Ovis aries: one gene and its partners. The protein of the gene in region 3 interacts with the protein of the main gene of each other region in a pairwise test. Links are inferred from orthologs where the notes say so. Each region holds a gene or a part of one and is shown on either strand. Other genes may lie near its edges.

Region 1 (4,188 bases), on a different chromosome or scaffold from region 3:
GACATGACTGAAGCGACTTAGCAGCAACAGCATACTTTTCTCTTAGGCAGTCTGATTCTGCTCTGAAAATTTTAGAAGAACTCCTGGGTTTAGATACTCTTTTTGGAGAGCTACTAAAGACATAACTGTTAGAGATGGAATTTAAAAAAAACTAAACCCACAAAAACCTCTGAGGGACAATATAAGGCAATAAGGGCTTCCCTGATGGCTCAGATGGTAAACAATTCAAGTGCGATGCAGGAAACCCAGGTTCCATCCCTGGGCCAGGAAGATTCCTCAGAGAAGGGAATGGCTACTCACTCCAGTATTGTTGCCTGGAGAATTCCATGGACAAGGGAGCTGGTGGGCTACAGCCCATGGGGTTGCAAAGAGTTGGACTCAACCAGCGACTAACACACATATAAGGCAAATAAAGGTGTCCCTGACCTACGAAACGTCAGGGACCAAGAAACTGAAGGGTGAGGAAAGCTAAACTTCATCAAAATCCCTCCCTATTGTGAAATCTCTGCATTCAGTAAACTTCTCTTTTCTCATTGTGCAATGGCTTGTCCCTACTGGAAAACAGCATACCCTGCTCCCTACATCGTTCCTTATCCTGGACCCTTTATTCCTGTGTCCCTCAGCATCCAAAGATCTCAAATCCCGTTTCACGGCTGGCCAAACAAAATCTGCTTTTAGAAAACTCACTAGCTTCTTGTCCTTCCCTGGATCAAGCAAAGTCTGGGACTCCACCTAGGGTAGATTGTTATTTTTAGCAATCAACCTCTAGCGGCCTTCTTTTTATCAAAGTAACACGCTGGTCATCTTGTGGCTTTACTTTATGACTGTGCAGACTTTGAGTATGCTGAAGTGATCTGAGCGAATCTGAAGGAAGAGCTAGTAGTGTTTGCCAAAGCTACCGTGAACATCGGGGACCCAATGGAGGCTCCGGAATGAAGATTCCGGTGGGATTACATCAAGACCTGCCAGTGTGAAGGGCCAAAGAGACACAGCGCCCCCTAAAGGGAGTGCGAATCAAAGTTACTAAATCCGACCGATGATATCACGTGCCCTCCGCCAGGCCAATTGAAAATTAACAATCGCTTCCTCTGTTCCCCATGGAAACAACCCCGCCCCTCTGACCTTCCCTCTCCATTCAGCCTTGAGGTTTTGTCGTTTTATTGAATGTTTAAACTGACAATCAAATACCTGCGCCTTCTGGCTGGACACCTTGCTTCCGCTAAGCAAACTAGTACACTGATTGGTCAATAAAATAATAGATGACATTTGGGCGTCCAATAACCTTCATCCCAGGCGGGATCTAATGAGGACGTAGGGCCAATCAGAGGCGGCGTTGCCTCTGTGGTTCCACGTCGGCACCAGCTGCGGGGCAAGATGGAGGCGCTGATTTTGGTAGGAGCTGGAGGGGCACCCGAGATCCTGCACTGTCCAGGGGGGCCGGGAGTCGGAGTTCAGTCTGAGTGGGAGGGGGTAGAAAGGGGAGTTCCTGGTAATCCTCGGGGTCCGAACGTTTTGCAGGTCCCTGGAATAAGCCTGTGGCCTAGTGCCGGAGCTAAAGCCTCGGTTTAGAGTAGGAAGCTGTGCCGGGGTTAGGGCAGAGTTGGTGGAAAGTTGAAGGGAGCACATGGAGTCCTTAGGACACATAGGATCATAAGCGTACTGGATTGGGGTCCTTCAGATTCTCTCTGATTATGTGCATTGTGGATGATACTGTGATTTGAGTTCCCCCAAATCTCCAAACTCGCCTCGAATTGTAAGAATAGAGTGCAGGTGTTTGTCATCACAGAAAACTTGTCACAGTGCAACTCTCCGTTGATAATTCCCTGTCGTAGACCTTAAAAAAAAAACTATTTTCTTCTTCGATTTCCTACTATGTAGATTTTGTCATCATAAAGAATCAGTATTCCATTAGAGTTCTGGAATACCTGATAAGAGTTAGTGTTGGATTGTGGAATGTTTTTTCAGACTTCTTAATCTGTTCTCCTTTTCCCGGTTCATTTAAATTTTGGGAATTCTTACTATAGTAGGATCTGGGATGCCAACTTTTCTCTGGTTATGTAAGAATTTTGGTGACTGAAGAGGTGTGTTACCTCCCCTGTCCATATAATCCTTTTTGCTTGCTCAAAAAAAAAAAAAAAACAAAAAACTATTATCTCTTCTTTAGAACTGAGCATTTCTCTCAAAAGTGCCCCACCCCTTTCAAACGTGGGGTTGTTAACATATATATGTATGTGTAATGTGTAGGAATTTAACTCCCAGCTTCTTAATTGAATTGAACTCTAGGTTCCTTTTTTACCCCCCTTCAGCTCTTCATATGTACACCTCCAAATCCTCATCAGGTTAAAGAGAATAACAGGTTTCAATATCCCTCTTTCAAAATGGCAAATGCAGGGATTCAGTTCAGTTCAGTCGCTCAGTCGTGTCTGACTCTTTGCAACCCCATGAATCGCAGCATGCCAGGCCTCCCTGTCCATCACCAACTCCCAGAGTTTACCCAAACTCATGTCCATCGAGTCAGTGATGCCATCCAGCCATCTCATCCTCTGTCGTCCCCTTCTCCTCCTGCCCTCAATCCCTCCCAGCATCAGGATCTTTTCCAATGAGTGAATTCTTTGCATGAGGTGGCCAAAGGATTGGAGTTTAGCTTCAGCATCAGTCTTTCCAATCAACACCCAGGACTGATCTCCTTTAGGATGGACTGGTTGGATCTCCTTGCAGTCCAAGGGACTCTCAAGAGTCTTCTCCAACACCACAGTTCAAAAATATCAATTCTTCAGTGCTCAGCTTCTTCATAATCCAATTCTCACATCCATACATGACCACTGGAAAAACCATAGTCTTAACTAGATGGACCTTTGATGGCAAAGTAATGTCTGTGCTTTTGAATATGCTATCTAGGTTGGTCATAACTTTTCTTCCAAGGAGTAAGCGTCTTTTAATTTCATGGCTGCAGTCACCATCTGCGGTGATTTTGGACTCCAAAAAAATAAAGTCTGACACTATTTCCCCATCCATTTGCCATGAAGTGATAGGACCAGATGCCATGATCTTCGTTTTCTGAATGTTGAGCTTTAAGCCAACTTTTTCACTCTCCTGTTTCACCTTCATCAAGAGGCTTTTTAGTTCCTCTTCACTTTCTGCTAGTTTCTTCCAAAAATATGGTTTGTTTAAGTCTAGGTAGAAAGCTTTGAAATCTTACTAAAGATATTTTCTGTACCAACCAGTTAACCAGTGTTCTTAACTAGTTAACAGACTGAGATGAATTCTAGGGAATTGGTTTCTTTGGAAGTTTTAAGAAAATTTTAGACTGCCCCTTAGTTCTGTTTAGAAGGGAGCCTGCTTATAGGTAAAGGAGTGAGGAAGATGATACTCCAGGAGCCCTTTTAACAAGGGATCTGTGTGTAGAGTGACCTGAGTTATATGTGAAAGTCTCTCTCCCTCTCACATTTTCTCTTACTTCAGTTCTTATCTTTGCTTCCATAATGAAGTTTGTTTTGACCTGCTTCTTCCTTATATCCATTTTAATCTTTACCTAAGATGCTTCATTCACAGATCCTTGCTGACCTGATCAGGTATCCCTGAAGTTTGCTTTAGAAACCTTACTGATTCTTTGTCCTGAGGAACCTATGTGATGTGTAAGGGGAAACGAAGATTAAGGGAAAAGGGCTTCCTCGAGTAAGCACAGTCAAAACCAGGATTAGTTTTTGACTCCTAATCCTCCCAGACCTAGTATTTCTCTCATATTATCGTGTGCTTCCACCTCTTCAGTATGCCAAATTGCACATTCAACTATCAGTTATATAAAACGTTAGTTAGGTACAAAGTACCAACTTTCAAAGTACCAACAAAGTACCAATACAAGTTCTTGTCACCAGAGTTCTTAGAATATCATATTAGTAATTTCCTTCCTCTTTGTCTGTGCTTCCCAACATTTTTGTATGTGTGTGCTCATTACTACCTTCAATATATTTTGGGCCCCCAATTAAGAACTTACGTATCTTTCTCTCCATTCCAGCCCTTCTCAACTGGAGTTCCAGGGGAGAATTAAGCCCTAATGCCGTAAGACATCATTGTATGTAATGAATCAATTTCTCTGTATACGCAGTGTCACTAGTTTTATACTATCTTTGGGAAGAGTAAAAAAATAGTATTAAATAATTTTCAGTATTCAGTGTTTCAGTTGTGGAA
Region 2 (4,305 bases), on a different chromosome or scaffold from region 3:
CCTCTTCCACTGAAAGGAGTCCAGGCATGCCAGAAGCAGGTAGGTGGGAGCAGGTGGCAGTAGCGGGGGTGTGTGTGTGCTGGTGAAGGGGAGGAGGGTGAAGGTTCACCAGAAGAGAAAAGGGAACAGCTGGGAAGGGGAGGAAAAAACACCTCTGAAGAAAAGGGAATGGCCTGTGGGTATGTGAGGCCGACAGGGACAGCTCTGTCCAGGCGGAGATGACAGTGTGCATCTGAGAGTTCTGCGCAAGGAAGATGAGGACACTTACTGTCAGTTCGGCTGGTCTTGTTGAAGACATTTTTCTCGAAGGCCATCTGCTCTTTCATGGAGGGGAATGTGTCATCATAATACTAGGAGGAAGGGAAGGAGAAAAAGTGACAGCCGTTCCACAGGGTCTGGCTTCTCCCTGGATGGGTGGCAGGGTGCTGGCCAAGTGGGACCCTGCTGCCATGCCCCCTCTCCTCTTGACTGCCCTCTATGCCTGTCTGCTATTTCCTCCTAAACACAAATTCTGAGCAAAGAGAGTCATAAAAAGTAGAGGAATTTTGAGGCCTGCCTTTGGAGTCCTGTCCTGATTTCTTGGAGACCTTTGTGCATTCAGCAGATGGCTGGGGCAGTCACTAGCCACACTGTTTCTACACTAACCTGAGTCTACAGGAAAGAAGGCAGAACCAGGGGCTCTTTACCACAATAATATCATAACAGCTATTTTATTATCCACATTGTATGGATGGGGTAACTTCCCTGACACCTCACAGTTTAAGGGACAGAGCTGGGATGCAATGGCAGCGATAGTCTGACTTCAGACAGGATTATGATGAAGATCCCCTGGAGAAGGAAATGGCAACCCACTCCAGTATTCTTGCTTCGGAAATCCCATGGACAGAGGAGCCTGGTGGCTACAGTCGAAAGAGTTGACACGACATAGCAACTAAACAACAATGACAACTACGGTGAAGATGAACTATCTAAGGCAGAGTTCCTGGCACACACTGCCTAAGGAAATCAATGCTGTTTTGTTGGGTTTGATAAGACTGTCTCTCTGACTCAGTTCCTGCATTTGCACATGGATGTGATCTGCTGGGAGGAGGCCCTGGAACCTTTGGTTGCTGAGCTACCTCTGACCATCTGCTAGGGCAAGGGACGGTCAGCTCAGCTTCCATTTTCTGAATGTAGATTTTGCCACCTAGTGCCCCATCTGCAGGCAAATTAGTGGTCTCCCTGCCAGCCACTGTTGTGATGAACAGGCTCCCTGCAATGTCATGAAGACAAGAAGTTTCAATCTAAAAAGTCTAAAAACAATCTAAACAATCTAAAAAGTCTACGTTGCATTTCATAGCTAGTTTAGGTGTCACAGCCCCACTATAGTTAATTGTGTTGATGGTAGATATTTATTTTTGGATTATTCTAGTTTGGTTTGTCCGGCCATGATCACTAGCATATATACCAGATAACTGAATAGTTGGTGCAGAGAGAATCATCCTCCTGAGCTTCAAGTCAAAATACCAGAGTTTGGATCCCTGCTCTGATATTAGTACCTGTGATTCCAGGCAACTCTAGCTTCTCTAGACTACCTTTTCCTCATTTATGAAAGAGTTGGATTAAAATCTGGTCTATAAAATCCTATGTTTTAAATCCTTAGTGTTTACCAAGCTGTAAAAGCAAAGCAGAGGGTACTTGTTCAGAATTGGGGGACCAGGTATCCAGGGTCCCAGGCCAGTGCAAAGGACAGTGAGAAGACATTCCGGGGAACATGAGTAGAAACAGAAGAGACAGCCCCTCCCCCTCTTTGGGGGCCAGCATTCTGACAAGGCAGGAGGATGGACAGAATGACCTTTGGAAGGGTCTCAGCTGAGCTGCTCTGTGTTGCAGAGCCCACAGTGGGGTCTCTCCTGCCAGGTGAGTCAGCTGGGTGGGGACTTCTGGACTTGGGCCTGTGGCACAGTGTCTTCAGGGGCCCTCCGGTGAGGGTGGGAGGTTACCTTGGCCAGCAGGCGGTGTCCGTCATTATCTAGGATGAAAACGGCCTTGATAGTGTAGAGGGAAGGTTCCTGCAACTGACACGGGGGAGAGCTTTGTTGGCCCCTAAGCCAGCGCAGACCCCTGTCATCGGCTCTACGTGATCTGCTGATCCCAAGAGTCCATCCTCAGGCCAGCGACCCTAGCCCCAAAAGTTCACAGCTGGTTTCGGCCCAACCCTATGCCACATGGACCACTCGGGTGCCCGCTCCCCTCCCAGGCAGATGTCCCACTGCAGGCCCTGGGTGGGCGCTGTGCCCATTGGGTGCAGAAGGTCCGTCCGGGCCCAAGTTCTGTCATGCACTGACTGCTCCAGAGCCCGAGTCGGAGTGTATCACAGAACCTGGGCCGGGGGGACAGCGGCGCCGAGCTCCTCCAGCGGCCCCCGGCGCCCTGGCCCGTCGGGCTCCAGAAGCACGCACGTCAGCCCGCCGCCGGGGCGGCCCCGCGCTCCCTAGCCCTCCGGGAGAGACGCAATCCAGCCGGGCCGAGCCGTCCCCGCCCGCTCCGACTGCTCCAGAACTTCGCCCACGCGGACGCCGCACCGGCCTCCTCCCGAGTCAGCGCGGAGGAACTTTTCTGCCCGCGCGGGCGCCGCCCCTCCCAGGCCGGTCCCGGCGGCAGCAAGTTCCCCGGCGCCCGGCCCGCGAGCTGGCGCCCCCCGGCCCCCGGCGCCGCCCGCTCCGTACCCGCAGCGCCGCGGGCTCCCCAGCTCGGGCGGGCGGCGCCGGGCCCCCAGTCGGGGCGGCCGCGGCCCCCTCCCCCGGGTGCGGACGTGGCCAGGCCTCCGGCCGCTGCATTCCGCTCGCTGCCTCGCGCTGACAGCGCCGCCCCGCCCCGCCCCGCGCCCCCCGGGCCGCCGCCGCTCCTCCCCGGCGGCCGCCGGCCTCGCGCCCGCCCCTCTCAGCCCCTCCGCGCGTGTCCTTCCTTTCCCCGAGGCCCTTCCCTCCTCGCCCTCCCTCCTCTCCCTTCCCGCCCTCTCCGCCCTGCGCTCACACCCCAGCTCTCCTTCCCCTGGCTCTCCTTCCTCTCGCCCTCCTCGGCCCCTCAAAGCCCAGAGCTCCTTGTGTCCTCAGTTTGTCTCAAGAACGGCCTCCTTTCCCCCTCCTGCCTTCTCTCTGGCTTGTGGGTTTGGTTTGCACCGACGTCCACAGGCTGCCCTGAAGCCATCAGAAAACACAGGCAAAGTCCAGTTTGTCTCTGGACTCCTGGTAGGTACTGTTGGCACAAACACATCAGGTCATCCTTTGGACTTCAGAGACAGGTCCTAGCAGCGGGAGCAGATGAGGACAGCTCTAGAGAGACTCCTCTGTGCAGTAGAGTTTCTCCCATGCCTCTCCCGAGACTTGGGGAAGGCAGCCATAGCGCCTGGACACCTCTGCAGACACGGACACAATCTGAAATGAGACAGATACCCAGCAGTACAAATGTTCCGCCTGTGAATGGCATCAGGCTTTGCTATGCTTTGGTTCCTTTGGCCTAGGTATACTAGGTGGTTTAATCACTATGTCGTGTCCGACTCTTTGAATCCAAAGACTGTAGACTCCCATGCTCCTCTGTCCATGAAGTTTTCCAGGCAAGAATACAGAAGTAGGTTGTCATTTCCTTCTCCAGGACCTTCCCAACCCAGGGAATGAACTCTTGTCTCCTGCATAGGAAGCAGATTCTTTACCCCTGAGCCACTGCTGCTGCTAAGTCGCTTCAGTCGTGTCCAACTGTGTGTGACCCCATAGATGGCAGCCCACTAGGCTCCTCTATCCCTGGGATTCTCCAGGCAAGAATACTGGAGTGGGTTGCCATTTCTTTCTCCAATGCATGAAAGTGACAAGTGAAAGTGAAATCGCTCAGTCGAGCCCGACTCCTAGCGACTCCATGGACTGCAGCCTACCAGGCTTCTCTGTCCATGGGAATCTCCAGGCGAGAGTACTGGAGTGGGTCACGATTGCCTTCTCTGCCTGAGTCACTAGGGAAACCCATTAAGTATACTAGAGGGCTTTAGCTTCAGAATCTTCAAGGCTAGTGGGAAATTAACAGTACTTCAATGGCACCCCACTCCAGTACTCTTGCCTGGAAAATCCCATGGACGGAGGAGGCTGGAAGGCTGCAGTCCATGGGGTTGCTGAGGGTCGGACAGGACTGAGCGACTTCACTTTCACTTTTCACTTTCATGCATTGGAGAAGGAAATGGCAACCCACTCCAGCGTTCTTGCCTGGAGAATCCCAGGGTCGGGGGAGCCTGGTGGGCTGCCGTCTATGGGGTCACACAGAGTCGGACACGACTGAAGT
Region 3 (3,560 bases):
GGAGGAGTGCACGGGGGTTCCGTGTGTGTGTTTGAAAATTCCCAGAACTGCTTAAAAACCCCATTCCTATCAGAAAGGAATAACCAACTCAGTGGAAACTATAGAAATAAATAGAATGCACGCGCTGTTTCACGTCAGAGGGGGTGAGAGCAATCATGGCAGATCGCACTTGAGATGCTGAGCGCCCGTCAGTACACAGGACACTCAGAGTGAAGCCACTCGAGACACACGGACACGCCCAGCACAGGCCGCGCAGGTTGCGAACACGCTGCCCGGTTGGAAGTGTGGGAGAGAAGGCACACGATTCCTATGGAAGGCAGCTGGAGATATTTACCGAGATGAAAGATGCACTTTGACCTGGTAAAGCCTTGAGAAACTCACCCTACAAATACCCAGAGTGCACACATCCAAAATAAAGTGCCTAAGCAGACACGTGTGTGTGGGGTTGTTCCCTGCAGCGCAGTCTGTAATGGCAGAACACGAGAACCACCTAGGTGTCCCTCAGTCCACGTGCTGGTTCTGAGAGACAGTACTCAGCCATGAGAAACAACCAGAGCTCAGTCTGGGAAGACGTCTGGGAAGACGGGAAAGTTCTGGAGGTGGGTGATGGCGATAGTTGCAAAACAGCGGGAATGTACTTAACGCTGCTGAGCTGATGTGAAAATCACTACATTGGTAAATTTCATGTTATTAAAAAAAGGAAAAAAACCAGGAGGCTCTCCAAGATGCACGGTGAAGTGAACAGCCAAGTGCAAAGCAGCGTGCCCGCCGTCTGCATACGGCTGTCTGACTCTGCACAGGGCAGCATGCACACTTGCTCTCACACCCTTAGGATCACAGGGAGGCGCCTGGAGGCCTGTGTAGGAGCTCACTGGCTGCCCGTGGGCAGGGACACTGACTGGCAGCAAGCGCCGGGGGAAAACGGCGCTAGCTGGCCTTCTCATACCTTGTGATGTTCCGCGCTGCGAGCCCTAAATCCCCGGGTTACCCAGGGGCACCCAGGCCCTTCCCACGAGAAACGCCACTCACCGGCCAGGAGCAGCGTGTGCGTGTTCTTGTTGTCCGGCACTTTGTCAGACCGCTCACAAGGGTGCATTCCTAAGAACTTGACGATATTGCCCACAGCCTCTGCAGGGAGGAGTCCCAGAGTTATTAACCCACGTAGCTCATCTCCACTTGGCGCTATCACCACTCCCCCAGCCCCAAATCCCACTGTATGCAGCTTTTAATGAGCAGCATCTGAACTGTCCCTTGTGGCTCAGCTGGTGAAGAATCCGCCTGCAGTGTGGGAGACCTGGGTTCGATCCCTGGGTTGGGAAGATCCCCTGGAGAAGGGAAAGGCTACCCTCTCCAGTGTCCTGGCCTGGAGAATTCCATGGCCTGCACTGTTCACGGGGTCGCAAAGCGTCGGACATGACTGAGCGACTTTTTTATTATTCTGTGTATCTGAACTGTATGCTCTAGACTTGGCCCTGGATCTTTGGGGGACGGGGGCGGGGACGGGGGGAGGAGGAGCACTTTAACAGTGGCCAAGGGTCTTGAAAGGCAGGCAAACCAGAGCCGGCACCCCCAGCATTTACCCTCGAGTGTCTTGATGGTGGACAAGGTGAACGTCTCCTCCTTCTGGAACTCATCCCCGACCTCGTCCCAGGCTGCCTCGAAGTTCAGCTTCATGACCTTCTGGATGTGATCCGCTATCGTGACTTCCAGGTCCTCCAGCTGGGGGGCGATAGGAGGGTCCTGAGGCACACAGCTCCAGGAGAGACGGCGAGAGCCTCCGCTCCGCTCTGCCCACCCGCCCCTCCCACCGCGCAGGCTCCGAGCGCTGGGCTCCGGGGCGGGCCCCAGCGGACCAGCGGCCTGTCCTCAGCAGCTCACGGCCGGGTGGTGGCCCCTCGGCGGGACGCGCCCTCAGACAGCGAGCTCCTGGGGGCTCCAGTCCTCTACGTGGAGCAGCGCCGTGTTTGCGTTTAAGCTGCGCACGTTTTCCTTATGCTCTGCGCCACCTCTCAAGCGTTTATAATACCCGATATGATGTAAGTGTCATGGAAACAGACGTAAACACAGTGCAAACGCTAAGTACATAGCTGCCTTGTGTGACAAGCTCACGTTTTGCTCTTGCGAATTTTCTGGAACCCACTCCATTTTCCGTCTGTTGGTTGGATCCATGGAGGCAGAACCCACAGATATGGAGGGGCCCCTGTCCTCCTCTCGGGGTGTTGGCTGTGAGAGCGCGCCCTCCGAAGCCGCCAGTGCCTGACTTGATGGGGCGGGGTGGGGAGGAGTGCTCAGAGGCCGCCCCGAGTCAGCCGGGCCCGCTCTGGACGCGCACCCTGGACCGACTGTGTGGAAAGGCTCCCGCTCATTCACCAGCAGCTCTCTGCTGAGCCCCTGCTCCCGTGCGCGGGGAGGGCGTTCACAGGTAGGACACAGCCCCTGTGGCAGAAGCCGGGCTTCATACCCAGCCCTCCTGGCCTTGGCTGCGCGCACTGCTGGCTCAGGCCTGGACCCGGGAGGACACAAGTGCCCATCGGGTGTGCCCCAGCGACTGCCCCTCTGGCTACGAGGGCCCTGGCCGTCTCCATCCCAGGCTGCCTGTCAGGGTCTGCACTCAGATGGCAGGGAGCCGCCGCACGCCGGGCAAATCGAGAATGACCCTGCCCTCGGCTCTGTGCTAGCCCCGCGAGCTGGAGCCGGAAGGGGCACCTCACTGCGTCAGAAGGTCGCTGACAGACACAAACTGACCCCGTCTCTCTAGAAAGCGACTGATGGCAGGAACCAAAAAGCCCTGAAACCGTCCTGCGTCTTTGACCCGATTATCCTACTTGTTTTTTTAATTATTTTAAATGTTTTTTTAATTATTCTACTTCCAGTCACAAGACAGGTCTGAAACACAGGCACAAATTTTTACTGAAAGGGGTGTTTACTGTAGCACTCAAAAACAGTGAGAATTTGGAATCACAAATGCCCAATGTTATTGGAATACAAAGTGAGGTGAATTAGGATATGTCAATAGAAGGGAGTATTTTAAAGTCACTAAGACTTGTGTTTATGAAGTATTTGTACTGACGGGAAATTACACCCTGGTTCTAAGGGAAACCAACAAGATCTGTAATGTATGTAATGACATCAGACACAGCTTCTCTCCCCGCAGCCATTCCCAAGGGCTACAGTGAACGTTTCCCTGCCTGAGTGTACTTGTTTTTCTATTTCCCAGGTTTTCTTGTGACACTTGAACATGTATTTTTTAAGTTAAAAACAAGAACTCTTTTGCGACGTCTAAACCGAAACCAGCGCACACGCGTGCAGGCTGGCGTGAGCCCTGCGGGCCCCGCCGGCGCTTACCACATACTCATCCTCGTAGCCCTCATCGTCCGCCTCCCCGGTGGTGGGGTCGCAGTCCTTGACAGTGAACTTCATCATGCAGCTGAACGTGCAGGCCACTGCAGGAGGGAAGGCACGCCGTTGGGGGCCTCTGCGGGCAGGCGGCCACAGCCTGTCCTCCAGGCCTCGACCGCGCCAGCGGCCCAGGCCAGCCTGCCCGCGGGTCTGGACCAAGG

Evidence for each region.
Region 1: the proteins of COPG1 (region 3) and COPZ1 interact in a two-hybrid assay, tested with the Homo sapiens proteins (2 studies listed by BioGRID). The link is inferred for Ovis aries from reciprocal best matches to the Homo sapiens genes COPG1 and COPZ1.
Region 2: the proteins of COPG1 (region 3) and COPZ2 interact in a two-hybrid assay, tested with the Homo sapiens proteins (2 studies listed by BioGRID). The link is inferred for Ovis aries from reciprocal best matches to the Homo sapiens genes COPG1 and COPZ2.

What each region holds. Positions count from the first base shown.
Region 1 is NC_056056.1:132,224,474-132,228,661, reverse strand, and holds the start of COPZ1 (coatomer subunit zeta-1), read left to right. Parts: upstream 1-1,349; 5' UTR 1,350-1,374; coding exon 1,375-1,392; intron 1,393-4,015; exon of another isoform or gene 4,016-4,072; intron 4,073-4,188. UniProt on the Homo sapiens protein: The coatomer is a cytosolic protein complex that binds to dilysine motifs and reversibly associates with Golgi non-clathrin-coated vesicles, which further mediate biosynthetic protein transport from the ER, via the Golgi up to the trans Golgi network.
Region 2 is NC_056064.1:38,174,294-38,178,598, reverse strand, and holds the start of COPZ2 (coatomer subunit zeta-2), read right to left. Parts: upstream 2,840-4,305; 5' UTR 2,820-2,839; coding exon 2,709-2,819; intron 2,362-2,708; exon of another isoform or gene 2,293-2,361; intron 2,058-2,292; coding exon 1,983-2,057; intron 351-1,982; coding exon 269-350; intron 1-268. UniProt on the Homo sapiens protein: The coatomer is a cytosolic protein complex that binds to dilysine motifs and reversibly associates with Golgi non-clathrin-coated vesicles, which further mediate biosynthetic protein transport from the ER, via the Golgi up to the trans Golgi network.
Region 3 is NC_056072.1:59,032,405-59,035,964, reverse strand, and holds part of COPG1 (coatomer subunit gamma-1), read right to left. Parts: intron 3,444-3,560; coding exon 3,346-3,443; intron 1,720-3,345; coding exon 1,581-1,719; intron 1,129-1,580; coding exon 1,030-1,128; intron 1-1,029. UniProt on the Homo sapiens protein: The coatomer is a cytosolic protein complex that binds to dilysine motifs and reversibly associates with Golgi non-clathrin-coated vesicles, which further mediate biosynthetic protein transport from the ER, via the Golgi up to the trans Golgi network.